Linked DNA regions of Oryctolagus cuniculus. The protein of the gene in region 1 interacts with the protein of each later gene in a biochemical or structural test. Links are inferred from orthologs where the notes say so. Each region holds a gene or a part of one and is shown in the gene's direction. Other genes may lie near its edges.

Region 1 (7,583 bases):
ACGTAAAGCGCAGGGGACGTGGCAGTGACGAGAGGAGCAAGCTGGCCGAGGCCGCTGCAGGGCTGACCGCGCTGGAGGCCCCCAGCCCCTCACAGCTCTTCCCTGCTCCTCTGAGCCCAGGCCGGACTCTCAGCAGGGCTCCCCGGAAGGCCAGGGAGGGTTTTCATAGGACCTGGGCTGGGGTGTGGCCGGCAGCGGGGAGAGAGGATGGCCGCCCTGGCACCCAGGCTGGGCGGTGAAGCCGTCCAGGAAGGCTGCCTGCAGGGCCCGGAGCCTCGGGGACGGAGGAGCTGACTGACCCTCCGGCAGGACAAGGCGCCGCTGCCTCCCGACCCACGGCGGGCGGGGGCGGGGGCGGGGACGTGCTCCGTGGGTATTCTTTCAATCAGAATGGGACTGGGACTTGCACTTCTCATTTAGCACCTGCCCGCCCCTCCACCGGCTCCTCCGTGGACTCTACCCCACGGCCTGGGCAACCTCCCCCACTGGCTGCTCCGAACTCACTGGTCATCTGTGAGGGCAGACCCCAGGCGGGTCCCGCGGCCTTGGCATTCCCTGTTCTGGCCTCGGCTGGGGTCAGAGCCTTCGCGCTCCTTTTCTTCCCCTGTGTGCGCCTGATGCAGGGAAAATGCGGTCCACCCCAGGCGCCCACGCGGGCGCCCCGCCGTCTCCACCTGCCCGCAACCACCTCCCGAGGACGGGAAAATCCAGCTCCTTCCAGACCCCTCCCTGGCGAGGCGAACTCCACGCAGCCGCCTTCGGCTAGATCGGAGTTCAAACCTCACCCTTAAACTCTCTGGACTCCACAAAAAAGGAGATGAACCCCTCGGGGCCGCAGTGCGCAGAGCCGGGACACATGCGTGGCCACGCGCGGTCAGCATCTAGCACACGCCAGCCCCTGTGACAAGGGCCTCGGTGGAACCAGACGATCCTCGGGGCAGGGCTGTGCCCCCGACCCGAAATGACCAGGGCTCAGATGCAAAGAAGCCCCCCGCCCCGCACATCTCGAAATGGCCCCCAGGGGGCACTTTCGCCCCGGAGAAGCACGGGTCCTCTTCCCACCGGAGCCGGAGGAGAGGAAAGCCCCATTATCTCCTCCGACACCGGCGGGGCTGGGGGGACGGCAGGATCCACACCGTGTTTCCTAACACAGGGCCTTTGGCGACCCCGGCCACGCTCAACACCCGCGGGGCTCTTGGTTCTGACCCCCGACCCATCAAGACGCAACGGTTCCCGTGGCTGGCCGAGGCCTTGGGTGCTCGGAGGAAGATGGGGACTTCGCTCTCAGCCCCCGGGACGCGAAGGGTTAAGGCGGGCGGCGCCGCAGAAGCCCCCCCGCACCGCCGCAGCGGCTCCCGCCGGCCGCCGGGCAGTCACGTGGGGCGAGGGCGGGCCCACGGGAGGCAGCAGCCAATAGGCTGCGCTGTCGTTGGGCGTGATAGCCAATAGGATCAGGGAGCGGGGGCCCGGGACTAGGAAGAGACGGCAGCCGGGAGGGGGCTCCGGGACTATGGGGCTTCTGACCATTCTGAAGAAGATGAAGCAGAAAGAGCGGGAGCTGCGACTGCTCATGCTGTATCCTCCCGGGGGCCGGAGCCGCGGGGTGGCGGGCGCCCTGCCGGGTGGGCGGCGCCAGGGTGCGCGGACGCTCTCCCGTCCCAACTGCCCATTGTGCGTCACGCACGTGGGCCCTACCAATTGCTCCCGGCGGGGGGCCGCGAGGAGGCCGTACCACTGGCTCGGGGCGGGGGGCTCCGTTCCGAAGGCCCAAGGTGCGGGCCTGAAGCCGAAGCGCCCGGACACGGCGTCCCGAATGGAAGGGGGAGGTGGGGCCCGGAGGTGACTGGACGTCGCCGTCCGTCGGGCGGGACGGAGCTGGGGGCCCCTGGCCGCCCCGGCTCTGACCTCCCACCCCCCCGCGGCCTGTCCGAGGGTGCCGGGCCCCGACCCCGCCCTCGAGTTCGAAATCCCAGGGGCGAGCGGGCCCCGCCCTCAGCTCGCGCGGCCGGGGGCGTGGACGCCGCGGGTCGTTTCGCGCTTGTGTCCGACCGTCCGTCTCTGCTGCGGTCACCCGTTGCTGTCCCCGGGCCGAGGGCTCGCAGGCCCTGGCTGGGGAGAGGAGACCCTGATGCGTGCATCTGTGTCGGGTGTAAAGAGCCCCGGGAAAGGCCCAGGGAGCTGAGCGCCACTGTGTGCGCGCCAGCGTCCTAGGGGCTGGGGTAACCCAGCAAAGCAGACCCTGCGTGGCGGAACGCTGTAATGCAGGGAGGAGCAGGGTGCTGAGTGGCCCGTGCTCGGAGGACCAGGCTCGCAGAGTGACAGCTGAACACGCAGAGCTGGGGGAGGTGGGCTGGGGGGGGCAAAGGGAGCAGGTGCGCCCAGAGGGGACCCCAGAGCCGCCTCCCCTGGGGCCTTCTGCTTCCTGACAGTGAGGGGTGCAGAGCACGAGCTGAGGTTGGGGAGAGAGACTGGTGGCTTGGGCCACGGTGTGAGCGGTGAGATCCTGAAAGGGGGGGGGGGACGTTCTGCCCCACTCCCCGCCCCTGGTGTCAGGTTGGGGAAGTGAGGCCCGACTGCCAGGTTCCTGGTGCGAGCAGTTACAAGGACCAGGGGCCATTGGCCGAGGCTGGGAGGAGCCGGGGAGGAGCGCAGGGGCTGGGAGGCAGAGTTCTGTTCTCCCCTGAGAGAGGCCCCAGACTTCCCGGGAAGGGCAGGTGGGCAGGTGGGCAGGTGCAGGTCGGGGGTCTGTGGAGGACACCGCCCAGGGAGTGTATGCAGGCCAGAGGTTGGAGGAGGACCAGGAGCTGGGGGTGGGGGCCCCTGGGACTCACCTTGGCGAGCAGGAGCCAGAGGCTGGTGGGTGTGGTTCAAGGATGAGGGAGAAGGCAGGGGGGTGGACAGGAGCTGCCTGCAGCCGAAGTGAGGAATGAGATGGGGGAGGGGCTGAGAGCCACAGCGGGGTCGTCAGCTGATTTTCAGGGCCTGGGCCTGGGCTCAGCAGAGGTGCTGTCCTCACCTCCAGTTTGTGGCCTTGGGTCACTCAAGGTCGGGAGAGAGACGGCTGAGTCGGGGACCTGCCCGGCCACAGCCCCCTTGCTCTGCCAGGTACACCGAGCTGTGGGAATGACTCCTCTGCTGTGAGCTCACACATCCATTTGCATGCATTTGGAATATTCACACATCCATTTGCATGCATTTGGAATATTCACACATCCATTTGCATGCATTTGGAATATTCACACATTCATTTGCATGTATTTGGAATATTCACACATTCATTTGCATGTATTTGGAATATTCACACATCATTTGCATGCATTTGGAATATTCACACATCATTTGCATGCATTTGGAATATTCCAGAAGCAGGTGAGAGTGTGGCTGTCCCCCGGGGCCTTGGCAAAGCCGGTTATTTGGATTTGGGGCCTTGGCTCAGGGCACTTCGCGTCCTCCCCAGTAGAGTGCGGGCCTGGGAGGGAGTGGCCTTGGTCCACCAGGACCCACGCCGAGGAGGGCCCGGCCAGAGGAGATGCCTGATGCCGCCGCGCCTTTCAGGGGCCAGCGTGGGCACCACTCATCTTGGCACAGGCGGGGAGCGGTCGGTCGGTCCTCGGGGCGCAGGGACGCAGGGATGCGGGGACTTCCTTAACCGGGCGCGCCGCAGCGGCCTGGACAATGCCGGCAAAACCACGATCCTCAAGAAGTTCAACGGGGAGGACGTGGACACCATCTCCCCCACGCTGGGCTTCAACATCAAGACCCTGGAGCACCGCGGGTGGGTGAGCAGGGCCCCGGCAGGGCCCGGAGCCGCAGAGGGGCCTGGCTCATCCGCTGCCGCCTCCCTCCCCTGCGCAGGTTCAAGCTGAACATCTGGGACGTGGGCGGCCAGAAGTCCCTGCGCTCCTACTGGCGGAACTACTTCGAGAGCACCGATGGCCTCATCTGGGTGGTGGACAGCGCTGACCGCCAGCGCATGCAGGACTGCCTGCGGGAGCTCCAGAGCCTGCTGGTGGAGGAGGTGCACGCCGGGGCCGGGCAGGGGGTGGGGGGTGTGCGCGAGGGGCTGGTGGAGGAGGTGCACACCGGGGCCGGGGAGGGGGTGGGGTGTGCGCGAGGGGCTGGTGGAGGAGGTGCACACCGGGGCCGGGCAGGGGGTGGGGGGTGTGCGCTAGGGGCTGGTGGAGGAGGTGCACGCCGGTGGGGGGGAGGGGGTGGGGGGGTGTGCGCGAGGGGCTGGTGGAGGAGGTGCACGCCGGGGCCGGGCAGGGGGTGGGGGGGTGTGCACGAGGGGCTGGTGGAGGAGGTGCACGCCGGGGCCGGGGAGGGGGTGGGGGGGTGTGCGCGAGGGGCTGGTGGAGGAGGTGCACGCCGGGGCCGGGAGGGGGTGGGGGGGTGTGCGCGAGGGGCTGGTGGAGGAGGCGCACGCCGGGGGGGGGGGGGGGGGCGGGGAGGGCTGGGGGTGTGTCTGCATGCGCACAGCGCTGGTGGGGCGTGGAGAGAGGCTGCTGGCCGGGGGCGGCCCTCCTCTGTGAATACATGTGTCGGGTGTGTGGACACCTTTCTCCACGGGCACCCAGAGGGACGCCTGGGACAGACCTGTTCCTGCACCGCACCCCACCACGGGAGGCCCATGGTGCCATTCTGTGCACTGCGACCTGGGCTCCTGACCCCCGAGGGCCGCCGGTTTTCTCCTCTGAGCTTCAGCGTCTGCCCTGAAGCAGGCATGACGTCACCCACAGGACTGGGCTTAGCGAGTGAGGCTCTGGGGGGCGGGGGTGGGGCGCCCTACTGTGTGCCCTCAGGAGAGCCACCTAACCGCTCACTTCCACATCCCGAGATGATCTTTGAAAGCAGAAAGATCTACTTTATGTTATTTGAAAGAGAGGGAGAGACGGAGAGAAAGATCTTCCATCGCTGGTTCACTCCCAGATGGCTGCAGTGGTTGGAGCTGGGCCAGGCTGAAGCCGGGAGCCTGGAGCTCCATCCGGGCCTCCCGCGTGGGTGACAGGAGCCCCAGCACTTGGGCCATCCTCTGCTGCCTTCCCAGGCGCGTTAGCAGGGGGCTGGACCGGAAGCGGAGCAGCCGGGACCCTAACCAGCGCTCCCACGCCGGATGCTGGCGTCCCAGGCAGCAGCTTTACCCAGTGCCGGCCTCCCGAGCAGTTTTCTTTAAAACGGTAGATTTACAGAAGAGTTGAGGAGCTGGAGCCCTCACCCCTTCATAGCTCGCGTGGTGCGAACATCTTCCGTAACCCGGTCATCTGTCAGCCAGGAGCGGAAGGCTGGGGACGGCGGTCCTGTCCCTGCTGTTGGACTCAGCCTCGCGCCGCACTGCACGCAGCTGAGAGCCAGGGCTCCTGGGGAGTGGAAAGGCAGATGTTGGGGGGGGGGGGCACAGATCATGGCCGGCAGACTCTGAGCGCACGCCCCACAGGCCAAGGCCTACAGGGTGAGGGCGATGGTGTGGAGGACGCCCGGGGAAGACGCGGGTGGAAATATCTGGAATCAGAGGCAGAGTGAGGCCTGCTGGGAGTGGCACGTGAAGGGGGAAGGCAGCCTGCGGGGTCTCTGTGGGTCAGACCATCGGAACCACAAAGAGGGCCAAGGATGGTCTTGTCGCGGGGTCTCTGCAGGTCAGACCACCGGAACCACGGGGGGGGGGGCAGGATCGTTCTGTCCTGGGGTCTGTGGGGTCTCTGTGGGTCAGACCACCAGAACCACAGGGGGGCCAAGGATGGTCTTGTCCCGGGGGTCCACGGGGTCTCTGCGGGTCAGACCATGGGAGCCACAGGGGGGACCAGGATTGTTCTGTCCCGGAGTCTGCCGGGTCTCTGCGGGTCAGACCACCGGAACCACGGAGGGGGCCAGGATCGTCTTGTCCCGGGGGTCCACGGGGTCTCTGCGGGTCAGACCACCGGAACCACGGAGGGGGCCAGGATGGTCTTGTCCCGGGGTCTGCGGGGTCTCTGCGGGTCAGACCATCGGAACCAAAGGGGGGACCAGGATCCTCTTGTCCTCGGGGGTCCACGGGGTCTCTGCGGGTCAGACCATGGGAACCACAGGGCCCTAGGATGGTCTTGTCCTGGGGTCTGCGGGGGTCTCTGGAGGTCAGACCATCAGAACCACAGAGGGGCCCAGGATCCTCTTGTCCTGGATTACAAAAGAGGAAACAGGAACTGGGAGTGAGGGGCCCGCTGCCCCTCCCACCCGGGCCGCTCCCGCCCCCACAGCCGCTCTGGGCCAGTGGAGGAGGGGGCTGCCGGCCCTTGAGCCCCGTCCCCTCTCTGCCCCGCAGCGACTGGCCGGAGCGACCCTCCTGATCTTTGCCAATAAGCAGGACCTGCCGGGAGCGCTGTCCTCCAATGCGATTCGCGAGGTGAGTGCGGGGCTCACGGGACAGGGAGGCGGGCGTCTCGCCAGGTGTTGGGTGGCATTTGTGAGCCCCTGCTGTGTGGCAGGTGAGGCGTAGGGGTGGCGCCAGGGCCTGTTAGTTACCGCACAGGCGGGCACCCGGCGCCCTCCGCCCCGGGGAGCTCCCTTTGCCACGGCGGCCCCCTGCTCTCGCTGGCCAGGACCGCCTGACCCCGGGGATGAGAAAGCCGGGTTAGAAACCGGTTCTGCCTTGCCCGGCTGTGTGACCTTGGGGGCCTGTGGAGCGTCTGAGCTTTGGTTCTCCTGGGCGTCCGAGGCCTCGGAAGCAGAGGACGCGGGGACGAGGGCGCGGGGACGCGCGGGGGGTCCCCAGCAGGATGCCTGGGACCTGGCGGACGCCGCAGCAGGGGGTGGCACTGCCCAGGGAGCTCTCCCCCCCGGGGGGGGGCCCCTTGCCAGGGCCTGGGCGGCTCCCTGGGTGGGGAGACCCGGGCTGCCCCCACCGGTACTTCCGCCCCGCCAGGCCCTGGAGCTGGACTCCATCCGCAGCCACCACTGGTGCATCCAGGGCTGCAGCGCGGTGACCGGGGAGAACCTGCTGTGCGGCGTGGACTGGCTGCTGGACGACATCTCCAGCCGCATCTTCACGGCCGACTGAGCCGCTGCCCGCTCCCCCGCCCCACCTGCAGAACTCACACTCCCCACCCCCGCCCAGACCGGACTGTCTGTTGCCCTGGCCCTACCCGGCCCGCCGCTGCGCACCCAAAAGGAAGGGCTGGGGCTGGACAGGCCCCTCCGCTGCTACTGAGGCCGTGGGCCTCGCCCTGTGCTCAGCTCTGAGAATAAACCACTCCTCGCCCCGGCGCCCAGCTCAGCCGTTTCTTGATTCAACCTCTCTGGACGCCACCTGGGATGCCCGAGTCCAGCGGGGGACAGAGAGGCAAAGGCCCGTTGGCAGCCCGCAGGTCGGCTGCTGCTGTGTCACAGGGAGTGGGAGCCCAGGACGGGGCTGTGGAACCTCCACCCGGGAGAGTCCAGGCAGGCTTCCTGGAGGAGGTGACACTGGAGCTGGGGCGGGGGGAGGGGGGATGTGTTTTGGCAGAGAAGGGGAGGCTGGGTCACAGGGTAGCTGCAGCCCTCCTAGGTATGGATTAGAAAAAGGGACACAGGCCCCGGCCAGGGCTCCCAGCCTGTTGAAGTTCAGCCTCCGG
Region 2 (7,425 bases), on another chromosome or scaffold:
TTTCTGGTTCTAATGAGCAGGGAATATGTCTTCCTTTTCCTTCATGGCCTCTGAATTGCCTAGGGGAGAGCTGTGCACCTGTAGGGGTGTGGCAACCTCAGGCTCCTTCTCCTTCTGCTTTCAGGTATACAATGTTGACCCCAAAGCCTACAATGGCTCCAGGCTACCAGTGAGAGTCGAGGTGGACATGGTACGAGTGATGGAGGTGTTCCTGGCGCAGTTGCGGTGAGGTCCTGGCTATCTACTTGGGGTGTCCTCTGTCTCCCTGATGACCTGAAGTTGGCCAGCTGCCCCCTGAGATCGTCTGCTGGGCTGCCGAGAAGGGGGCTGCCGAGAGCAGAGAAATCTCACTTGGCAGGAATGTCTTGGCTGTGTCTAGAGCCCCAGGGAAACTGAGAAAGGTTTCCAAGGAGCTCTGTGTCCTCCTCTTGAGGAGGATTAGCAGGTGACAAAACCTGTTTTAAGAAAAATAAGTTCATGTACTTCAGATCCCTGGGGTATGATTAGGGGTGCTTAAGAAGATAGCTGGCAATTCTTACGCGAACTGATCCACTGAGAGTGGCAGTCTGAAGTCCTGTGTTCTGAAGTTGTGTCTGGGCTCACCAGGAGAGTGTTCCGAGTGATTAGTAATGTCTGTCGTGGGTACAGCTTACAGAAGCACAGCACATGTGCCATGTCAAAGGTGGGCTTGCATCATCTCTTAACACCAAGTCCCACTGGCCCCATTTGTCCAAAGAGAGTAGAAAGAGTGAGGGAATTCAACGGAGTTGGTGTTAGAAATACTTTTATTATAGAACCTTTGTCCTTTGTTTTTCTTTCTTTTTCTTCTTTTTTTTTTTTTCCAGATTTATTTTGTCTATTTGAAAGGCCACAGTGGCTAGGGCTGGGTCAGGCTGAAGCCATGAGCCCAAGCTCCATCTGGGTCTCCCACATGGGTATTGGGTCCAAGTACTTGGGCCATCTTCCATTGCCTTCTTAGGGGCATTAGCAGAGAGCTGGATCAGAAATGGAGCAGCTAGGACTTGAACTGGCATCCATATGGGATGCCAGCATCACAGGTGTTGGCTTTATCCACTGCACCATGGAACTTTTTTTTTCCCACAAGATTTTGGAAATCTAATAAAGAAACAGTGGAAATGCAACATTCTGGTTGAAGCAGGGACTGGGGGCTCTGGATTGCTTGGCGTTGCTGCTCACCTTCCGAGACCCTGAGACACTTGCCACAACCCCTGTGGCTCTGGATACGACTGAAAATCATTGGCTTAGAGCAGGTATTACAGGAATCCTAGTCACAGCCTCCCACCTTCTGGTCTCAGCCACTTTGATCTTCTCTCCCTGTTTCTCCAGACTGCTTTTTGGGATTGCTCAGCCCCAGGTGCCTCCAAAATGCCTGCTTTCAGGGCCCAAGAGTGAAGGGCTGATGACATGGGAGCTAGACCGGCTGCTCTGGGCTCGATCGGTGGAGAACCTGGCCACAGCCACTACCACCCTCACGTCTCTGGCCCAGCTCCTGGGCAAGATCAGCAACATTGTCATCAAGGACGACGTGGCATCTGAGGTAAGCAGGCCTAGGATTGGAGTGGCCAGTGAGGCCCAGGGTGTGGCAAGACCAGAGAGCCAGCTGAGGCCTGGGATGAGTGTGGGCGTGCCACCCATGGTGCCCCTGGCTACCTGCAGACAGCCGTGCCAGCTCCCCAGCAGGAGTCACGATCGGAGAGAGGGTTCAAGCTGGACCTCAGAAAATAAGCCGCAGCCTTGTTAGCCTGACCTGCATAGATCCTTGGTGAACTCCAGGCCCCCTCCCTGATATACAGAAGGCCCAGTAAGGCCCAGTCCCCTTCCCCGCAATGGCCCAGGCCTTACTGCTAACCATCGTCCCCTCCCCTTCCTAGGTGTACAGGGCTGTAGCTGCAGTCCAGAAGGCAGCAGAAGAGTTAGCCTCTGGGCACCTGGCGTCTGCCTTCGTCGCCAGCCAGGAGGCTGTGACGTCCTCTGAGCGGGCCTTTTTTGACCCCTCGCTCCTCCACCTCCTCTATTTCCCCGATGACCAGAAGTTTGCCATCTACATCCCGCTCTTCCTCCCCATGGCCGTGCCCATCCTGCACTCCCTGGCCAAGATCTTCCTGGAGACCCGGAAAAACTGGAACAAATCTGAGAAGACAGACTGAGCAGGGCGGCATTTCAGCAGAAAGCCTCGCTTCTGGCCAAGGCGGGGAGGGTTCAACAGAGGCACGTGGATGGGGCTTCGGGGAGGGACTGACTGACTCTCCAGCAACCCAAGTACACCACTCCAAGATGGGCTCATCTTCCCTCCGCTCCCCAGTCCCTTGGCTCAGGTCCCTTCCCTACCTCCTTATCTGACTTGAAGGCCTCTGCCTGTCTCCCTGGAGGCGGGGGCAGCTCGCCTCTGCATAAAGCAGGGGAAAACCCTGGATTAGATTCTAGCCTGTTCCCCTGCGTTTCTCTCTGACCGCAGCAGAGGAGAGCGGTAGCGTTGCTGTCACGGACAGGGTATGGCACAGGTCACCTCCAGGATCTTCTGCCTGATTCCTCTCCCTTCTGGCTGACTTGTTGGGTACAGCCTGACCGGAGCCCAGGATCTGGTGCTGTGTGTAGCAGTTTCCCTTCATGCTTGCCGAGAGGCAGTGTGGTAAGTTCTAGACTCGGAATCAAACAGGCCTGAATTCATATCCTCGCTTCTGCAGTATTGTTTGGGGAGCTTTGGATAAGCCACTTAATCTCTCTGAGCCTGTTTTCCGTTTGTTCAAATGACACTGATGATACCTCCCTTCCAGGGCGGCTGTGAGGATTAAATGTGATAAGCACGTGAAAGTGTTTGCGCTCCGTTTGGCTCTTAGTACATAGTGAGTTTACTAGAAGTGGGAGCATGACTGTCGCTCTTTCTTCCTCCATGTCTAAAGGTTTTCTGATAAAGTACTCCTGCGCTCACAGGCCCACCTTGCCTCCACACGGCCATGTGCTCTTCCTGTCTCCAGGAAGTCCTGGAACAGCTCCTGCCTTTTAGTACCGTGTCTTGGAAAGAATAGCTTGTGCCAGTGTAAGCCCTCGGATACTCTTTCATCAGTTTGAAGAAAAAAAAAAAAAATGTTTTGAGCTGCCAAGAGCACTGTGCTAGGCGCTGGGGTATACAACAAAGCAGACAGGATCTCTGCTTTCACGGAGCAGGCCTGTCAGGGGCAAGAGTCTGAACACATAAAAATAATTTCATAGTGCTTTAGAAAGAAAAAACACCAGACTGATCAGATAGTGACTGGGGGAGGGAGGCCTTAGAGGCGATGACATTTGAGCAGAGTGACACCAGAAGGCTGGGATGAGAGCAGCAGTGGAAAAGGATCCCAGGCGAAGGCCCTGGGACTGGAACTCGCCAGAAGGGCAGAAAGACTGGGACACAGCAGGTAAGAGCACTTAGGACCTCCAATACTTCTGAAAAAGTACTCAAAAATGAACAAAATCCAGGGCAGCCCCCGTCCGCCCTAGGTCGTCCAGCCCTGGTGGGCGTGGCCCCACCGGGCCCGCCCTGGGGGCGGGGCGGTACCTGGGGCCCCGGCCGGGGGCGGGGCTGCGGACGCTCCCCCTTCCCCTGGCTCCAGCCAGCGCAGGCAGCGGCGGCGGCGGCAGCAGGCGAGCTGCGGCCCCGCGAGGCCATGAAGGTGAAGAAGGGCGGCGGCGGGGCCGGGACGGGGGCGGAGCCCGCTCCGGGGTCCTCGGGCCCGAGCCTGGAGCCCACGCTGGATCCGCGGGCTGAATCCGAATCCGGGTCCGAGTCGGAGCCAGAGGCAGGCCCGGGGCCCAGGCCGGGGCCGCTGCAGAGGAAGCAGCCCATCGGGCCGGAGGACGTGCTGGGGCTGCAGCGGATCACGGGCGGTGAGCGCCGGCGAGGGAGCGCCGCCCGCGGGCGGGAGGGAGAGCGAGCCGGGAGGGGGCCTGCAAGGCGCGCTGAGCCCCGGCCCCCGCCCCCTTTCTCGCCTCCCCTCCCCCACCAGGCCCCTCGCCTGTGTCCCCTACTCTACTCCTCTCCCTTCTGCCTGCAAGCCTGAGATCTCTGGGTTCCCCTTCCCTTGATCTCTCGGTACGCTCCCCCTCTTTTCTCTGGAGGTTTATTTCTAACCCATTTCTTCCCCTTTGAGAGTCTGTCGCTTTTTTTGGTGGAGGTGGGGCAGCATCTGCAACAGGGAGTCTTGGGGCTGGGAGGCCCGTCCGCACCAATGAGGGGGGTCACGTGCAGGGTGTCCGCCCACGCTGGGGGCCAGGGGGAGGCTGTTCCTGAGCCCACAAGACCCTCGGGTCTCCCTGAGCATTGGTGCCCCCATCCCATCTTCATCCCCAGGAGGGAACGAGCAGGAAGCGTCATTGCGCTGGCTGTGGGCCCTGTCATGGGAGCGGGTTAATGCCCCCCAAGCCTGTCCTCTCTGATCCCTTCCACCGTGGGTAGGAGTTTCTGAGTGTAATTGACTGGGTGACCTTGGACAAGTAGCTACACTTCCCTGAGCATGTTTCTTCATCTGTAAATTGGGGATACTGACACCGACTTCATCAGGTTGCTCTGAAAATAAAGAGCCGTCTGAATCTGAGCTCTGCTTGCACTATAAATAGGGCTCCTTTATCCATGCGTTGAGGGCCCCTCAGGGCTGCCCCTGGCTTCTGGGAGGCAGACAACTGGGCATGCAGGGCAGGGGAGAGGGCCACTCTAGGCAGAGGACAAGGGCCAGGACGCCTCCTGGCAGAGGCCACGGCTCAGCCTTGCAGAGACCATGGCCCTCCACATGGGATCGTTCAGCAGCAGCCCGGCCTGGCCCCCTTTGTGAGCAGCTCTGGGGCCTCTGTGTGGGGATGGGAGGCAGGCACTGGAGTGGACGTGAGCCCTGAGCTGCAGGAGCTGCAGGGCTGTGGAGGGACCCTGGTGGCAGGCCTGAGCATGCCTCTGGCTCCCTGGGGACCCCGCTCCCTCTGAGCTAAGCAGCGGGCATTCTTGTCTGGGCCCCCAGCGCGTGGAGCTCTCGTTCCTGTGGGTATTGAAGGTGGGAGAGGGCTGGAGCAGGCTGATGCTGGTGATGATTGGGCTGCGGTTTGCAGCAACAGCACCCAGTTCCAGCTTAGCTCTGGGACAGACTCCCTTATAGAAAATCGGAGGTCAGGCCGACCTGAGGCCCGGGCAACTTCTGGGGTTTGTTTTGTAACCATAGGAGGCTTCCAGCGCAGGTACTCCCATGTGTCTCCTAATTTGGAGGAAATGTCACAGCCCCGAGAGAAGGGGCATCCGTGGGCAGTGCAGCGGGCAGGTGTTCACTGGAGCCCTCCCTGTGCTGATCAGGAGCTACGTGCCGGTCTCTCCACCCTGCAGCCCTGGGATGGTCTCTTCTGACCCTAATCACACAGGTCTGAGGTTTGCTGTTCCAGGATTACCAGGCCCTGAATCCAGCTTAGGGAGCTATTTGTGGCTGAGGGGAAGGGAACAGTTGTGTTCCGAGCCCTAGGCCATCGTGACCCTGGGCCCCGGGCTGCATCCTCCCCTGGCAGAGGGAGGGAGCAGCCCCTGTTCCACGCTTCCTCTGCAACAGAGGGGTTGGCAGGTCGAGTCTGCAGTAGAAGAGACTGGGGCCAGGCTGCCAGAGGTTGCTCTCGAGCAAGTGGAGAGGCCCGGAGAGGTGGAAGATGAGGGAAGAGAGGGCTTCCTGGGGAGCTGGGAATTGGCTCCCAGGATCCCACTCCCAGCTCTGCCACCTCCCTTCCCTGTGGCCTGCACCGTCTCTCCATGAGGGCTCCCCATGGAGTTCATGGAAATAAGTATGATGGAGTCGCTGTGCATGGATGTCAGACTTCCAGTGCACCCAAGTAAACATTTGATTCCATTTTCCCATGGCCTTTTGAAGTACCCTTGTATACCTTGGGACTAGTGCTTACTTTCTATGAAAATCAGCATGGAGGTAAGAGTTACCCACGCCCATTCCCCCTCCTTTCCCCACCATGGGGCAGTGCTGGGCCCCATGGTCCCAAATGGCTGCCAGGGGGCTTCCTGGAGGGGGTTACCCCAGGCAAGGAGAAGAGGCAGACCTGGGGAAGAGAGAATGACTGTGTTCCCTTCCTCTTCCTGCCCTAGAGGAATAGGAGGTGACCCAGGGGCCTGGAGGGTAGTTTGCAGGCCTCTCGGGGCCACCAGGGGAGGGTGTGGTGCTGTACGGGATGGCAGCATGGGAGCCCCCCTGCACCGCTCTGCTCCTTCCTGTTCATCGGCCCCCTGAGCACCTGCAGTTGGTCAGCAAGAGCAGTGAGGGTTAGATCAGGCCCTGTATGTTCCTGAGCTTCCTCAAGCAGGGCCTGTCTCTGTTCCTGGTTCCCCTTAACCTCACCCACACCCTCTTCCTGGCCTAGACTCTCCTGTCCTCTGTGGGGTCTGGGGGTGCTTTCCCTGTGGCAAGGGGCTCAGATGGGTGGATGGGTGACGTCTCAGGGTCTTCCCTCTGTTTGCTAAGACTTCCTCCTGTTTGGAGAGCAACAGGGGATGGGAGCAAAGTTGGCTCCCTTTCCCCCAGTATCCTAGGCTCTGGGCTTGAGTCAGCAGAGCTTTGGCTAAGCTGCTTAAGAGAGCTGGGCTTGGATAAGCCGCTTATCGGAAGAGAAGGGGGGCTGGGAGAGAAGAAGAACAGAGAAAGGGTTTTGTACCTGCCTTGGCACCCCCCATTGTCAGTGAAAGTCAAATCACAACCATCCTTGCCTGACATATCTGGATGTGGTGGTGCCAGAGGTGGCCATGGACAGGGCTGTGTCGCCCCTTTTAGAGTGGAGTTCCCGAAGGTGGGGCTGTGTCTTCCCTCTTGGACCAGGGGCTCCCACTGGACTGGGCCCATTTGGCACAAAGGCATCCAGCCAGCCTGGCAGAGCTGAGGCTGAGATCTGGACCCTCAACTCCAGGGTGGAGGGGAGAGTGGGGGAAGGGCCCTGACTGTCCCTGATCCGCTGAGGCCAGTAGGATGGGGCTCTTCTTCCAGCTTAGGTCTCCGAGGCAGAGTTCTGTCTCTTCCAGGAGAAAGAGGTAGCTAATCCAGGCACCCACAAACTGGCAGCAGGGCTTTGGGGACCCATTGGTTGCTCAGCTGCCTGTCTCCCCTAGACTACCTGTGCTCCCCCGAGGAGAATATCTACAAGATCGACTTCGTCAGGTTCAAGATTCGGGACATGGACTCAGGCACTGTCCTCTTTGAAATCAAGAAGCCCCCAGCCTCAGGTGAGCAGGCCAGGTGGGCTGCTAAGAGGGGGAGGCAGGCAGGCACTGCAGAGAGCTCTGCCCAGCGACTTCTTGGGCTTCAAAGGAGTCGGAGTAGAGTTGAGGCTCGGATGCCAGGATCGTCCAGGATTTGCAGGCAGCCGGGCCTGTTTTCCTTGCCATACGTTTCTGGACTTGGACGT
Region 3 (7,467 bases), on another chromosome or scaffold:
GAAATCGACTTTGCAGGTATGAAGGTTGCCACTCCAGCTTCCTTTACACTAGTTAACAGGGTCTCTTTTCTATCCTTGTAACCTCTGTCTGTTTATATATAAGTGCATTCCTGCACGCCACTTGTGGTTAAGTTCAGCTTTATTGTTCTGTCAATCCCTTTAGCGAGAGTATTTTTTGACATTTTTATGTGTTTGTTGATAGTTAGATTTGAGTGTATCTGTTGTTTATGTGTGTTGCCAGTTCTGTCTCCATTTTCCCCTTTAACTCCTTCCTTTGGAAGAGCTGAGTATGTGGCGACCCTGCCTCAGCCTGCTTGCTGGCCGGCCCTTGTCCCAGGGCCTGGGCGGATTGCATGCACTGTCCTGTGGCTACAGCGAGTAGCTCTGTCCTTGCTTCCGTTGCCCAGGTGAATGAGTGGCATGACGACTGGCCAACCTTTTTCACCCGGCACCGGCTCCAGGCACAGCTGGACCTCATCGAAAAAGACTATGCTGACCGAGAGGCACGAGAGCTGTGGTCGAGGTTACAGGTGGGCCCTGCGGCCACTTCTCTGGGAGAGAGGCTGTTCTCTCACCCCGGGAGAGCTGAGGGACTCTGTGCAGAGCTGGGGAAGTGGCGCACACATCAGGGGCCACTATGAGCCTGACAGGAACGGGACAGGGGTGGGATCCGAGGACCAACATGGCCCCCTGGGGTATTTAACCTGACCTCCTGCCTGTGGAGCCCAGGGGCACTGCCGTCCCCGTCTCCTGGTTACTGACAGCTGCCCACTCTTAGCCTCCGTTCCCCTCTGTCTTAGTGGGAATGTCTCACCCCAGGATGGGCCCCCGAGTCCCCCAGGGCCAGGTCTCAAAGCCTGACTCTGAAGTCCCGCTGTAGCCTATGGTGAACTGGCTCCTTGACCTCATGGATGAAGTGGCCAGCAGGGCGGAGAGGAGCAGTGACAGGGCAGTGGGGAGGGCTGTGTCCTCTGCTGCGGCCGCTGGTGCCAGGGAAGTGGGACGCGCACAGAGCGGAGAGGGGCTGCCTCCGGCCGCGTCCAGGCACTGGGCACGACGACCCTCCCTCTCGCAGGTGAAGATCCCGGCTCTGTTCTGCGGCCTGGAGGTGGTCCCCGCCCTGCTGCACGGTGACCTCTGGTCGGGGAACGCGGCGGAGGACGACGCGGGGCCGGTGGTCTTCGACCCGGCCTCCTTCTACGGCCACTCCGAGTTCGAGCTGGCCATCGCCCTGCTGTTCGGCGGCTTCCCCAGGGCCTTCTTCACCGCCTACCACCGCAAGGTGCCCAAGGCGCCGGGCTCCGAGCAGCGGCTGCTGCTCTACCAGCTCTTCAACCTCCTCAACCACTGGAACCATTTCGGGCGCAGTTACCGCTCGGCCGCGCTGGGCGCCATGCGCAGGCTGCTGGCATAACCGCGGGCCGGGATCCCCGCACCCTGCTGCGGCGCAGCTCGCCCGGTGGAGCCCTCCCGGGAACGGCCTCCGGGGGCGGCCCCGACGCGCGCTAACCCAGGGCAGCACCCCTTAGAGCGGCAGAAGGCGGGGTAAGGGGAGCAGGGGCGCAGATGGGACACCCGTCCCCTGCCGACCGCGCCGCCAGGGGTGTGCGCGGCCCACTGACCCTGCGTGGCTGACACGCGCACCTGGCCGCGCGCGGCCGCCTTCTCTCGAGGGACGAAGCTCCGGGCACGGCTTGCTCGCAGCAGGTGCATCCCTGGGACCCCAATTCTCCCCCCCCGGGGGCAGCAGCTCTGCCACTCACCGGGGGCCCCCAGATCGAGCTGAGGGCTCCCAGCCCCGGCTGTTGCGGGTATGTGGGGGGAGGGGTGAACCAGCGGACAGGGGCTCTCTTTCTCTCTTTAAAGGCCTTTCAAATAAATAAACCTTAAACATGAAAACCACCTCTGGGTGGGGGTCCATCGCGTGCTTCCTGCTCCGCCAGCGCTCACCTGGGCCTGGGGTCTCCAGGGGGAGGTGCTTTTCCCAGGGCCAGTGGGCGTCGGGCGCCCACGGCTCGCGCCGGACCGCAGTGCGGGGTGGCCCTGGCGCTTGGGACTGGAGGCGGTCATGGCCCCGCCCCGGCACCCAGGCCCCGCCCCACTCCAGGGCTCAGACCCCGCCCGGCCACGCCCTCAGGCCCCACCCAGTCGCTCGTCTGTCCTCAGACCACGCCCCAAACGAGCCCCGCCCAGGGCCCGCCCCCAGCATCAGCTCCGCCCCGGGCTCGCCCCTCCGCTGCCCGGGCCGGATCGGAGCGCGGTCTTTCCCCGCCGAACTGAGCCTGCGCGGAGACCCCGCCGCAGCTCCTCTTTGCCCGGAGCCCGACAGCGGCGAGCGACCCGGGACCAGAAAGCGACTTCTCGTTTTCGGCCGCCGTAAGCCTCGGCCCTCGCCGGACGGGCGCCACCTCCGCGCGCGCTGCCGCTATTTTGGCGACTCGCGCGTCCCGTAGCGAGGCCGGCTCCGGGGTCGGAGGCCGCTGGGTGGGGCCGGCGTGCGCGGGCGCCGCCTTCGCTCGCCTTTCTGCGCGCTCTCCTCAGCCGGCCGGGCCTCGCCGCCGCGATGGACCTGAGCAAGGAGCCGGTGGCCGGCGCCCGCGACGACGAGGTGGAGGAGGAGGCGCTGGCGTACGGCGCCGCGCTGGAGGCGTTCAGCGAGAGCGCCGAGGCCCGCGCGCTGCTCGGCGGGCTGCGGGAGGCGCACGGCGAGCGCGCGGCGCGGGAAGCGGCGGTGGAGCGGTTCCGCGGTGAGGCGGGGTGCGGTGCGCGGGCGCGGGGGACTTCAGCGTCTCGGGGCCCCTGCGGGGAGGGCGCACCCTGCCCTCCCTCCCGGCAGCCCCTGGAGAGGGCAGCGGGACCCTTGGGCAGGTGGCACGTGGGCTCCCGGCCCCGAGACGGACCCCACGGTGTGTGCGTGTGCCTTTGTGTGTGTGCCTGTGTGTGCACCTGTTGTACAGAGCGTGCGCATCTGGTGTGCAACGTGTGTGCTCCCACCTCTGTGTGTGCCCCCCTGTGTGTGCTCCCACCTGTGTGTGCTCCCACCTGTGTGTGCAACATGTGTGCTCCCCTGTGTGTGCTCCCACCTGTGTGTGTGCTCCCACCTGTGTGTATGCCTGTGTGTGGACCTGTTATACAGAGCGTGCGCATCTGGTGTGCAACGTGTGTGCTCCCCTGTGTGTGCTCCCACCTGTGTGTGCTCCCACCTGTGTGTGTGCCCCCCGTGTGTGCTCCCCTGTGTGTGCTCCCACCTGTGTGTATGCCTGTGTGTGCACCTGTTATACAGAGCGTGCGCATCTGGTGTGCAACGTGTGTGCTCCCCTGCATGTATGCACTTGGGTGTGCTCCTAGCTATGTGTGTGTGCCTGTGTTGTGCAACATGTGTGCTCCCCTGTGTGTGCTCCCCTGTGTGTGCTCCCACCTGTGTGTATGCCTGTGTGTGCTCCCCTGCGTGTGCCCCCCGTGTGTGCTCCCACCTGTGTGTATGCCTGTGTGTGCTCCCCTGCGTGTGCCCCCCTGTGTGTGCTCCCACCTGTGTGTATGTCTGTGTGTGCTCCCCTGCGTGTGCTCCCCTGTGTGTGCTCCCACCTGTGTGTGCCTGTGTTGTGCAACATGCGTGCTCCCCTGTGTGTGCCCCCCCGTGTGTGCTCCCACCTGTGTGTATACCTGTGTGTGCGCCTAGTGTGCGCCTGCAGTGTGTCCCACAGTGTGAGGACTGCAATGTGTAGATCAGTTGTGCAGACCAGGTGTGACCCTCAGCGTGTCGACTGCAGAGCACGTGTGGACCCGTGTGTGGACCACAGTTTGGGGACTGCTCGGCGGGGCCACGGGGTTGGACCAGGAGGAACTGGCTTGATGCCCAGCGTGGCTGTGGGCTGCTGAGACTTGGAGAAACGGGTGCGGTGTGGGATGACAGCCACAGTGTGAGTGGCTTCTTGGTCAGCCTGGTGGATGACTTCCAAGTGCGTCTGTAGGGCCTGGAGGTGCATGATGACCTAGAGCGTTTTCGCCACGCGCTTGTCCTCGGTTTGGAGAGGCAGTGCCCGGGCTTTAGGAGAGAGGCTGGGTGGTGTCCAGGTGGAGAGGCCACTGGCAGCAGCAGTCTGAATCCCGTCTGTCAGTTACCCGAATGCCTGGTGACTGATAACACCGCCTCACGTACAAACTGAGGGTGAGGCGGGCACCGGGCACCAGCGGGAGCCCGGCTTTTGCTCCTGGCAGGTGGGCGGCAGTGAGGAGTGCTCCTTGGATTGGACAGAAGCACCGCAGCTGGGGGCTGTGGGTCAGACTTTGCAGGGCTTTGAGGGAAGAGAGAGGGTGTGTGCCTGAGCGGGAGTGGGAGGGAAGGAAGGAACAAGGGAGAGACCCTGCTGGGGAGGAAGACTCAGGAGGCCGTGGGAGGAGAGGACCCCAGGAAAGGTGTGTGGAGCAGGGGGCCAGAGGGCAGTGGGGGTGCACACTCTGGGGGGCCTCTGTGGGTGTGCTCTTGGCCGCTGCCTGCGTTTAGCAAGGACGAGCAGGGTGGCTCCTGAGGTCCCTGTGCGCGTCTGGCTTAGTGGTGATTGACTTCTGTGTTCTTTTTCTTTTTAGTAATAATGAACAAATACCAGGAGCAGCCTCACCTGTTGGACCCACACCTTGGTGAGCATGGGAGCTGATGGTCCTGATGACCGAATGAATGACAGGTGGCCGTGAGACCTTGTGTGCTGCCGCGTGTGTGTGGCTGCAGAGGGTGGCGGGATGTAGTGCCAGTGCCTTTCAAATAAGTAAGATAAATCTTGAAGAAATAAAGAACACATCTTTTGGTTCTCCTACCCAAGTTTTAACCTGTTTGTGTCTGGTCACCTGCTATTGCTGGCAGGTCACACAGGGTCACGTGGTCACCGTTCAATCCTGCCAGCAGCTGAGGAGGCATCTGTGGTCATGTCTGCTGTAGAGAAGATGCTGAGACTTGTTTCTTACCTTAGTGTAAGGGTAGTGATTCTTAAAAAATTTATTTATTTGAAAGGCAGAACAACAGAGAGGGAAAGGGGGCAGACAGAGCAAGAGAGACAGCAAGCAAGCTATTTCACTTCCCAGATTCCTGTAACTGCCAGGGCTGGGCCAGGCTGACGCCAGGACGAGGAATTTCATCAAGGTCTTCCGTGTGGGTGGTAGGGACCCCCGCACTTGGGCCCTTATCTTCTGCCTTCCCAGGCATATTAGCAGAAAGCTGGATTGGAAGTGGGTAACTGGATCTTGAACTCAGGCACTCTGATATGGGATATGGGAGTAGCAAGTGTGGCTTAACCTGCTGTGTATAATGCTGGCCCCAACCCTTGCTTCTTTTTATATTTTATTTAAAAATAAATTTTAGAGATTTATTTTTTATTTATTTGAAAGGCAGAGTTACAGAGATGAGGAAAAGAAGGAGGAGAGAGACAGAGACAAAGACAAAAGATCTTCCATCTGCTGGTTCACTCCCCAAATGGCCACAATGGCCAAGGCTGGGCCAGGCTGAAGCCAGATCCTGGAGCTTCTTCTGGATCTTCCATGCGGGTGCAGGGGCCCAAGCACTTGGGCCATCCTCTGCTGCTTTTCCAGGCCATAAACAGAGCTGGATTGGAGAGCAGCTGGGACGCAAACTGGTACCCATATGGGACGCCAGTGCTGCAGGTGGATGCTTAGTCTACTTTGCCACGGTTCCAGCCCCCACGAATGTTGTTTATTGATCTGTGAAACTGTCTTTGTTATGTGTTCTGACTAGTTGCTGATGTCCCTACTGTGCCACAGGATTGCCCCAATTCTTCCATTTCTTTTTCTTTTCTTTTTTTTTTTTTTTTTGACAGGCAGAGTGGACAGTGAGAGAGAGAGAGACAGAGAGAAAGGTCTTCCTTTTACCGTTGGTTCACCCTCCAATGGCCGCCGCGGCCGGCGCGCTGCGGCCGGCGCACCGCGCTGATCCGATGGCAGGAGCCAGGAGCCAGGTGCTTTTCCTGGTCTCCCATGGGGTGTAGGGCCCAAGCACCTGGGCCATCCTCCACTGCACTCCCTGGCCACAACAGAGAGCTGGCCTGGAAGAGGGGCAACCGGGACAGAATCCGGCGCCCCGACCGGGACTAGAACCCGGTGTGCCGGCGCCGCTAGGCGGAGGATTAGCCTAGTGAGCCGCGGCGCCGGCCTCATTTCTTTTTTTTTTTTTTTAAAGATTTATTTTATTTATTTGAAAGTCAGTTACACAGAGAGAGAAGAGGCAGAGAGAGAGAGAGGTCTTCCGTCCAATGGGTCACTCCCCAGATGGCCGCAACGGCCGGAGCTGCACTGATCCGAAGCCAGGAGCCAGGAGCCTCTTCCAGGTCTCCCACACGGTGCAGGGGCCCAAGGACTTGGGCCATCTTCTACTGCTTTCCTAGGTCATAGCAGAGAGCTGGATTGGAAGTGGAGCAGCTGGGACTAGAACCGTCGCCCATATGGGATGCCGGTGCTTCAGGCCAGGGCGTTAACCCGGCCCCTCCCATTCTTCCATTTCTAAATAAACCCTTTTTATTTTGATATATAAACACTTATTTATTTTCATTTTTTATTTGAAAGGCATAGAGAGGGAGGAGAGACAGATCTTCCACTCCCTGGTTCACTCCACAGATACCCCCAGCAGCTGGGGCTGGAACAGGGCAGATCTGGGTGCCTGCAGCCCCCTCTGTGGGTGGCAGGTACCCAAGTGCTCAAGCCATTATCTGCCGCCTCCCAGGGTGCATTAGTAGGAAGCTGGATTGGAAGCAGAGCCGACCTGAACCCAGGCATGTTGACACCCAATACCGGTGTCCCAGTGGTGTCCTAACTGCTCTGCCAAATGCCCACACCTGTTTTGATACGTTGTTTTAACATCACACCGATACATTTAACAGTAAATGTTATTGTGCTTCCCTAGAATGGATGATGAACTTGCTGTTGGACATGGTGCAAGATAAGACATCTCCAGCTGCCCTGGTACACCTGGCTTTTAAATTTCTTTACATCATCACCAAGGTAACATTTATGTAGTGCTTTTGAGTTGTCACTTTTTTTTAACTTTATTTGAAAAGATTTATTTATTTATTTGAAAGGCAGAGTTATATAAAGAAAGGGAGAGACAGAAAAATCTTCCATCTGTTGGTTCACTCCCCAAATGCTGTAACAGCCAGGGCTGGGTCAGACCAAAGCCAGGAACCTGCAGCTCTCTCTGGGGTTCCCACGTGGGTGCAGGGGCCCAGGTATCTGGGCCATCTTCTGCTGCTTTGCCAGGCACATTAGCAGGGAGCTGGATTAGAAGGGAGCAGCCAGGACTTGAACCAGCGCTCATATGTGATTCTGGCTTCGCAGGGGATGGCTTAACCTAACCCTCTGTGCCACAGCGCTGGCCCTGTGAAGTTGTCACTTTGGTAATAAACAGGGACCTCTCGACATATGAGGGGGTTGTGGCTCAACAAACAATCCTATGTTGAAAATATTCTT
Region 4 (7,279 bases), on another chromosome or scaffold:
GAGAAGGGGCAACACTTGGGGGTGGGAAGAAGGCAACTGAGTCCAGTGTGAGCTCTCAAATGTCCCAGCGAAGCCTCTGCTTCCTCCAGAGTGATGTCCAGGCTCCGAGGCTCCAGGCAAAGCCCTTCCTGGGGTCCTCCCTCCTACCCCTCCCAGCTGTTCCTTGCGCCACCCTCCTCCCAGCCCAAGCTCCAGGCCTTTACCTCCCCTGACCACACCAGCCTGTGCTCGGGCTCGTTCTCTGTTCTTTGCAATGCTTTTCTCTTATATTTGGGTGTAAAAATCCTACCAACTCCACAGACAACAACTTCTTAAATTCATGCAAAAAGCACTGAGTTTTGCACTACATTAAAGCCATGAATTTCTGTTTGAAAAGAGAGTGAAAAGACGAGGCACAGTCTTGGGAAAGATACAAAGACTGGAAGCGTGTAGACAACTGGGTTCTTACCCAGACTATGTAAAGAACCACAAATTAATAGGAAGACAAACAGCCCAATCTGTGAAAAGCAGGCACTTCACAAGAGAAGACATTCAGGTAGCAATAAGCAAATGAAAAGGTGCTTAATCTCAGGAAAGGTGTGACTAATGCCAACAAGAGTGACAGCAAACACTCTGGGTTGACAGGGATCAGAGGCAACCATAACCCTCCCACGTTGCTGGTGCAGGCACAAAACTGTTACAACCGCTTTGGAAAACTGGCAGTATCTGCTATCAGTGGGGACGCACGTAGCCTGCAGGCCAGCAGCTCTTCCAGGAAAGCAGACAAACATCCACAAAGAGAAGCCAGAATGCTCACTGCAGCTTTAAAATAGCCACAAAAAGGATGAGAACCCAAATGCCCTCCAACAGTAGAATAAACTGTGGTATACAGTGTGTGTGTGTGTGTGTATTCAATGGAATACTACTCAAAAAAAAGGACACAACAAGGATGAATCTCACAAAAATACTGATGAACAAAACAAACCAGACACATATTGTCCATACTGTATGATTATATTTAAAGTGGAACTCAAGAGCCGATGAAACTGATCTACAGAAATAAAGCCAGAAGCATTGCTTTTCTCCGGATGGCAGGATGCAATACTGATTGCAAACTGGCAGAAGGCATGGCTGGAAATCTTCCATGTTTTGATTTGGAGGATGACAACAGGGGTTTTCACATACGTGAAAAGTGTTCCCTTACCATATGTAATATTCTATCTCATTAACAAAATATTTTTAGATAAAATTTTTAACAGAAAATCCTACCCATCCCTCAAGCTCAAAGGCCACCTCCTCCATCAACTTTGGCCAGCTATAATCAATCTCTCCACCAGAGCCCCCCGTGGCATACTGCTGTCACCTTGATGCCCTTTGTCACGCTCCATCCTGATTCTCAGTGGAGTCTCCCTAACTCAAATAGACGGTCATCTTTGTGGAGGCGGGGACCATGTCTTCTACCCACTAAGTGCCCGACAAATCACAGAAGCAGAAAGCACGTTTGTTGAATTACCCAGAAGGAAAAGCTGAGTGCAGAGGGTGACAAGCTGGTGAAAAGCTGGGTGCAGAGGGGGACGAGAGGAAGAAAGTCCTAGGAAAACACACAGAGCATCTCCCAGCAAGCCCGGGCTCACCCTGCGATTTTACCCACTTCCTGAAATCACATCAAATGTCACCTTGAGTGACAAAGAAAGAACAAATCAAAAGACCAAGTCCTACCAAAACAAATATCACACACTTCCTCATCTGCCAGAAATCCACCGAATAAATGCTTTACCCAACCTCTGGGTGTTCCAACCTTGGATGGGCAAACTACTCAACAAGGCGGGCAGTAATCGCACTGCCATACTGCTAAAAATATCACCTCCCAGGCTGCGGGCGACAGACTCGGGGCCGAATCCTAACTCTGCCCCAACTTGCAGTGACCTGAGGCCGGTCTCTCGCCTCTCTGGGCCTCAATTCCCTCGCACGTAAAAACAGCAGGGGCAGGATTAGCAAATTCTTTCAAGCACCTTCCCGTATTGACAGAGCACACAATCGATAGCTCTCCTGGTCCGAGGCAGGAACACACCAGAGGTCCCCGCAAAACACGCAAACGGCGCCCCCGTCCAACAAACAAGCACGGTTTGAAGAAGTCGTTTTGTTACATTCTTTCGTGGTTTAATCAGTGTTTTTGTTGTTTGCAACCTTACCATGATTTGCAGGCGATTTCTGAGTTCCATGTAAACAGAAGTTAATTCTCTGTGGGCTGTCATCGTCTTTCACCGGGCCACAGGGTCTTCCCGCCTGGTTTTCAGTCTCGGGATGCAGAAACCACCGACCTTGCCGGCAGGTTTACGAATTTGCGCACACTGCGCGGCACACTGGAGCCTAAGTTACAGAGCCTCGGGACGCGACGAATGCTGGGATTTGTAGTCCCTGGGCCTCTCTGCTGCGTGCTGGGATCTGTGGTCCCCTGGCGCTCTACTGGAATTCTGGGAAATGTAGTCCTCTGCCCCTTCGCACAATGCAACCTGCGGTCGTCTCAGGAGACTAGTGAGCCCAGCAGCAGGAGCAGGCCCCTAGAGCCTCTGCAGATGTCAAGCCAAGCCCCCACTGGGGCTAACTCTAGGCAACAACACCCAGTGAAAATTTTGTCCTATGGGACTTCTCGGGGAGGGCGCTTCCCATGGATGCTCTTCGTCCCCCTGCGAAGCCGCTGAGCGTTGCTATTGGCTGGTGAGAATGCCAATCGCCGAGGCGGGCTTTCCATTGGCTTAGGGGCGGGCGCTCCGAGACCAGAGGGAAGGAGAAGGATCAGGAGCGGGAGCTGAGGGGAGGGAGAGGCCGGTCCGGGTCTGGCCGCTGCCTCTGCTTGCCCGAGGTCTCCAGGCCGGGCTGCGGCTCTGTGCTCGCTTCCTGGGCACGGTCCGCGAGGCTCCGCAGGGCAGCGTGAGAGAGCCGCGGGCGGCGGCCGCCGCAACATGTCAGCCAAGGACGAGCGGGCCAGGGAGATCCTGAGAGGCTTCAAACTGTATCCGCCCGGGAGCGGGGAGGGGCCGGGAGGACTTGGGAGGCGGTCGCTCCCTGAGGAGACCGGCCGGGGACTGGGGCGCCAGGTGGGCCCCCGAGGAGAGGGGCAGCGAGGGGGGACAGGAAGGGGCCGAGGTCCCAGGCCCCGGCGCCACGGGGCGCGGGAGGCGGGCACGGGGGCGTCCTGAGGGCGGAGGGGGACGTTGGCGGGAGCCGCGGGCACGGGGGCGAAGGAGCCCCGGGGCCTGGGCTGCGAGGGGCGCCGGGCGCCGGCGAGGGGTGTCGGGAAGCGGGCTGGGCTCGGAGCTGCGGCCGGGAGGGGCCGCGGCCCGCCGGGGAGGGCTGAGGGGGCGCGGCGGGCTGGCCTCGAAGCCCGGCGGCGTCTTTGGCGGGAAGCCCGCCCGGGGGAGCAGAGAAGTGACTGGGAGTGAACGACCTTGCGTGGGACCAGCGCCGATGCCTGGCATTAAATACTCTCGCCCCCCCCCCTCCACGCCTCACCCCGCCTCACCCCGTCTGGTTGCCACAACTTCTTCTGCTCACTTGTGGCTTCCAGGGCTGGAGTAGCAGAGGGCGGTGGGGGGGCGGGCGCCGCTCGCCTCTCGGCCCCTCGGGTCTTCCCTGCAGCCCGGCGAGGACGCGGAGCTCGCGGGTGGTGGGATGCCTCCAGGTGCCTTGGCCGGGGTGCCTTAGGGGTGCCTGCCGCCGGGTCGTGGCGGAGCTGTCCAGCAAGGGTTGGCTTGCGCTGGGGACCCGGTCAGGTGTGAAGTCCCTGCCTCGGGCCTGGGTGGAGCCGGTAGTTAGAGAGCTTTGTGTTTTCGTGGAGGGTTAGTCTGGCCAATGTGATCTTGCATATTCCAATTTTACATTCTCCTACTGACCTTAATCTCTTCTTAGCACCCTATCCGTTCAGTGAGGAACATTCTTAAATATCGCTTTGGGTGAAAATACCGGCATCGCTTTGGGGCCCCTCCCCTGGGTGCTTAGCAAAGCACTGTTCTCTGACCCCCACCTGTCGGGTTGTCACAGTGCCCATTTCACCCCTACACATTTGAATTATTTTGTCATAGCCAGAAACCAAGTTGGTAGTAGAACACAGTGCGAGAAGAGGGTCAGGAGGTTTGGGATGTACAGATGAAAATCTCCAGTGGAATCCTGTTAGGCTTGTTTAAAAACCCAAGGCTGTGTTAGCCTTGCAGACTTCATCCGTGCTCAGCTTTCAGTACTTTCATGTGGTGGAGTTTAGGAACAACCTCTCAAAGCTCCATGTTCCCTTCTGGGTTTCTCTTCATAATGGAGCCTCGACAGGGATAGGCATAGCTCAAGTGTTCGGAGAGCTATGACATGGATTTTATTTTTTCTCTTGCATACTTTATACTTAACATATGTGTTGCAGACAGTAAACCAGAGAATTTGAGATTTTGGATTGCAATTAATGTATTTCTGAAAACCCGGAAGGTGGCTTTTGAGCAAGGCAGAAAAGGAATGCTTGAGCTTCTCACCATTCGTTCAGTCTTGGCTCTTGAACTTGTTGAGAAAGAAGCGGAGGACAAATATGAAAGAGTAGAGAGCAGGAGGTGTCAGCCCACTGGCAGGAATGGGGAATTAACCAGTTCAGCCGTGATGTTGCTGCGTCGACAAACAGGCTTTCAGGGAAAGTTTGAGTGGAGCTAAGTAAGCCCTGAGACAGGAGAGCAGCCGCATAAAGTTGGGAAGCAGTGAAGTGAGAGTGCTGGTCCTCCGTGTCCTTTACTGGCATCTGAGGATTAAGAGAGAAAAGGAAAGCAAGAACCATAGGATTTGCTGCCTTGGAATTCTAGCTTTACATTCCTGACCCCATATCCCTGCACAACTTCTGTAACCTCTACCTCAGTTTTCTCATGTAAAAATAAGAATAATAATACCTGGTTGTGAGATGAAATGAATTGATCTCCAAAGTATTCAGAAAAGCACCTGGTGTAAGCATCGTGTGCTAGCTATTGTTGCGAGAGAAATTCCAGATCATTTCTCTTGCATTTTAGTATTGATCCTTTGCCTATGAAGTATGTTGCAAGTATTTTTTTCTCAATGTATTGCTTGTCCCCTTCTTTTGTTGAACAGGATTTTTAAATTATCATTCCAGATTTATTAGTATTTCCTTCTTCTGCATGTGGCATATCGTTTAAAGAGAACTTCTTTATCCCAAGATTAATCAAATAGCCTGTTTTCTTCTCTTTTCAATATTTAGCTCCTCAGCCTAACTGCAGGGTGTTTACATGTGTGTGGTGGAGATCTAATCATTGCTTCCATAGTCGTCCCAGGACTATTCACTAAATAGCTGCTCTGTCCTTTCCTCACTGTTTTGAAATGCCATCTTTGTCTTATAGAAAGTTTCTATAAGAAATGGATTTTCTTTTTAGAATATTTCTATTTCATTGATCCATCTGTGCACATTTAGTTTAATTACTATAGTTTTATAGTATGACTTAGTATAGTCCGCAGAAGGATTGGCATTTCATGAACAGAGTACATGTGTTTAAAGTCATTGTAAAGGCCCCATAAATATTTGTGTTCCTTTTATTCACACAGAACATTGCCCATCTGTCCATTATACAAGTAGAAACCAAATAAATGTGAATTACAAATTACATAAATCAGATATGGTCAGAGAAAATTTAGTGTAAGCTTTTTTATTTGCCTTGTTATTTCAAAAATAAAATATTTGTAAGATTTCCATGTCATCTACACCCCACCATTTTTTAACTGACACTCATTATCTGTGTTTCTTTTCTGTTTGTTAAAAGTACAACATTTCCTAGCTGTAAATTAAAACCATGAGTGAAATATGACTTGGGGGACAAATGTAATTCTCCTACAAAGGTTTTGGGTTTGGTTATTTTAAGCAGCTTCAGTTGTTATTTGTAATCCCACATTCTCCGTATCATTCACTCAACAAAGGTGTCTGTTAAGAAGAGAGTACTGTGTATTTGAAGAATACAAAAATGAATTCATTTCATTTTTATGCAGACTATTTTTTCATTTTTATGCAGACTATTTTTATGTCTGGTTAGAGGAGATACCTTAAAAAGCAGTGTATTTTGGAAAATAGTTTTTAATTTTTCTATTATAAACTACCTAGAAAATGACCTTTCTTAACATTTTAATATAGCCTAATATGGCTAATGTTTAAAGCTTTTATTAAAATGGGATTATGAGTATTATTTTGTAACATACTTTTTAATGTAATAAATTACCATGTTCATAATTTCTGAGATAGTTATTTCCAATTTATTATTATTTATTTGACAGAGTTATAGACACATAGAGGGAGAGAAAGAGAGAAAAGCCTTCCATCCACTAGTTCTCTCCCCAGATAGCCGGAGCTGGGCCAGCCCGAAGCTAGGAGCCAGGAGCTTCTTCTGGGTCTCCTACATCAGGCAGGGGCCCAATCACTTGGGCCATCCTCCACTGCTTTCCTAGGCCATAAGCAGATAGATAGCTGGAATGGAAGAGGAGCACCCAAAATATGACCTAGTGTCCATATGGAGTGCCAGCGTCACAGGTGGAAGCCCAGCTCACTACACCACAGTGCCAGCCCCTCCAATTGTTTTCAGTGACATAGATGTGCCATATTACTCCTTTTTAAATTCATTTATTTATTTATTCATTCATTCATGTAAAAGAGTTACAAAGAGGGAGAGAGAGAGAGATCTATCCACTGGTTCATGCCCCAGATGGCTGCAATATCTGGGACTGAGCTACACTGAAGTCGGGAGCCAAGAGCTTCATCTGGGTCTCCCATGTGGGTGGCAGGGGCCCAAGCACTTGGGCCATCCTCTGCTGTTTTTCTCAGGCCATTAGCAGGGAGCTGAACTGGAAGTGGAGCAGCGGGGACACGAGCTGGTGCCCATATGAGATGCCAGCATCATAGGCGGCAGCTTTACCTGCTGTGTCACAGTGCCAGCCCCTGTCATATTACTCTTTTTTAAAAAGATTTTCTTTATTTATTTTAATTTTTTTAGATTTATTTATTTATTTGAAAGTCAGAGTTACACAGAGAGAGGAGAGGTAGAGAGAGAGGTCTTCTGTCCGGTGGTTCACTCCCCAGATGGCCACAAGGGTCGGAGCTGTGCCGATCAGGAGCCAGGAGCTTCTTCCAGGTCTCCTACACGGGTGCAGAGGCCCAAGGTCTTGGGCCATCTTCTACTGCTTTCCCAGGCCATAGCACAGAGCTGGATTGGAAGAGGAGCAGCCGGGACTAGAACCGGCACCCATATGGGATGCCGGCGCTTCAGCCCAGTGCGTTAAC

The links.
Region 2: the proteins of ARL2 (region 1) and UNC119 form a complex in vitro, tested with the Homo sapiens proteins (2 studies listed by BioGRID and IntAct, with this or other methods). The link is inferred for Oryctolagus cuniculus from reciprocal best matches to the Homo sapiens genes ARL2 and UNC119.
Region 3: the proteins of ARL2 (region 1) and TBCD form a complex in vitro, tested with the Homo sapiens proteins (2 studies listed by BioGRID and IntAct). The link is inferred for Oryctolagus cuniculus from reciprocal best matches to the Homo sapiens genes ARL2 and TBCD.
Region 4: the proteins of ARL2 (region 1) and PDE6D are reported together in a solved structure, tested with the Homo sapiens proteins (2 studies listed by BioGRID and IntAct, with this or other methods). The link is inferred for Oryctolagus cuniculus from reciprocal best matches to the Homo sapiens genes ARL2 and PDE6D.

Annotation. Positions count from the first base shown.
Region 1 is NC_091432.1:6,520,389-6,527,971, reverse strand, and holds ARL2 (ADP-ribosylation factor-like protein 2), read left to right. Parts: upstream 1-3,135; 5' UTR 3,136-3,221; coding exon 3,222-3,369; intron 3,370-3,555; coding exon 3,556-3,775; intron 3,776-3,855; coding exon 3,856-4,018; intron 4,019-6,295; coding exon 6,296-6,376; intron 6,377-6,895; coding exon 6,896-7,030; 3' UTR 7,031-7,236; downstream 7,237-7,583. UniProt on the Homo sapiens protein: Small GTP-binding protein which cycles between an inactive GDP-bound and an active GTP-bound form, and the rate of cycling is regulated by guanine nucleotide exchange factors (GEF) and GTPase-activating proteins (GAP).
Region 2 is NC_091448.1:44,061,583-44,069,007, reverse strand, and holds the start of UNC119 (protein unc-119 homolog A), read left to right. Parts: upstream 1-3,587; 5' UTR 3,588-3,665; coding exon 3,666-3,885; intron 3,886-5,921; exon of another isoform or gene 5,922-5,945; intron 5,946-7,129; coding exon 7,130-7,243; intron 7,244-7,425. Other genes in the region: PIGS (GPI transamidase component PIG-S), read left to right, coding at 125-225, 1,348-1,558, 1,893-2,168. UniProt on the Homo sapiens protein: Involved in synaptic functions in photoreceptor cells, the signal transduction in immune cells as a Src family kinase activator, endosome recycling, the uptake of bacteria and endocytosis, protein trafficking in sensory neurons and as lipid-binding chaperone with specificity for a diverse subset of myristoylated proteins.
Region 3 is NC_091448.1:397,523-404,989, reverse strand, and holds the start of TBCD (tubulin-specific chaperone D), read left to right. Parts: upstream 1-2,381; 5' UTR 2,382-2,563; coding exon 2,564-2,747; intron 2,748-4,587; coding exon 4,588-4,638; intron 4,639-6,904; coding exon 6,905-7,002; intron 7,003-7,467. Other genes in the region: FN3K (fructosamine-3-kinase), read left to right, coding at 408-530, 1,076-1,414.
Region 4 is NC_091434.1:7,548,203-7,555,481, forward strand, and holds the start of PDE6D (retinal rod rhodopsin-sensitive cGMP 3',5'-cyclic phosphodiesterase subunit delta), read left to right. Parts: upstream 1-2,732; 5' UTR 2,733-2,942; coding exon 2,943-2,992; exon of another isoform or gene 2,993-3,077; intron 3,078-7,279. UniProt on the Homo sapiens protein: Promotes the release of prenylated target proteins from cellular membranes. Modulates the activity of prenylated or palmitoylated Ras family members by regulating their subcellular location.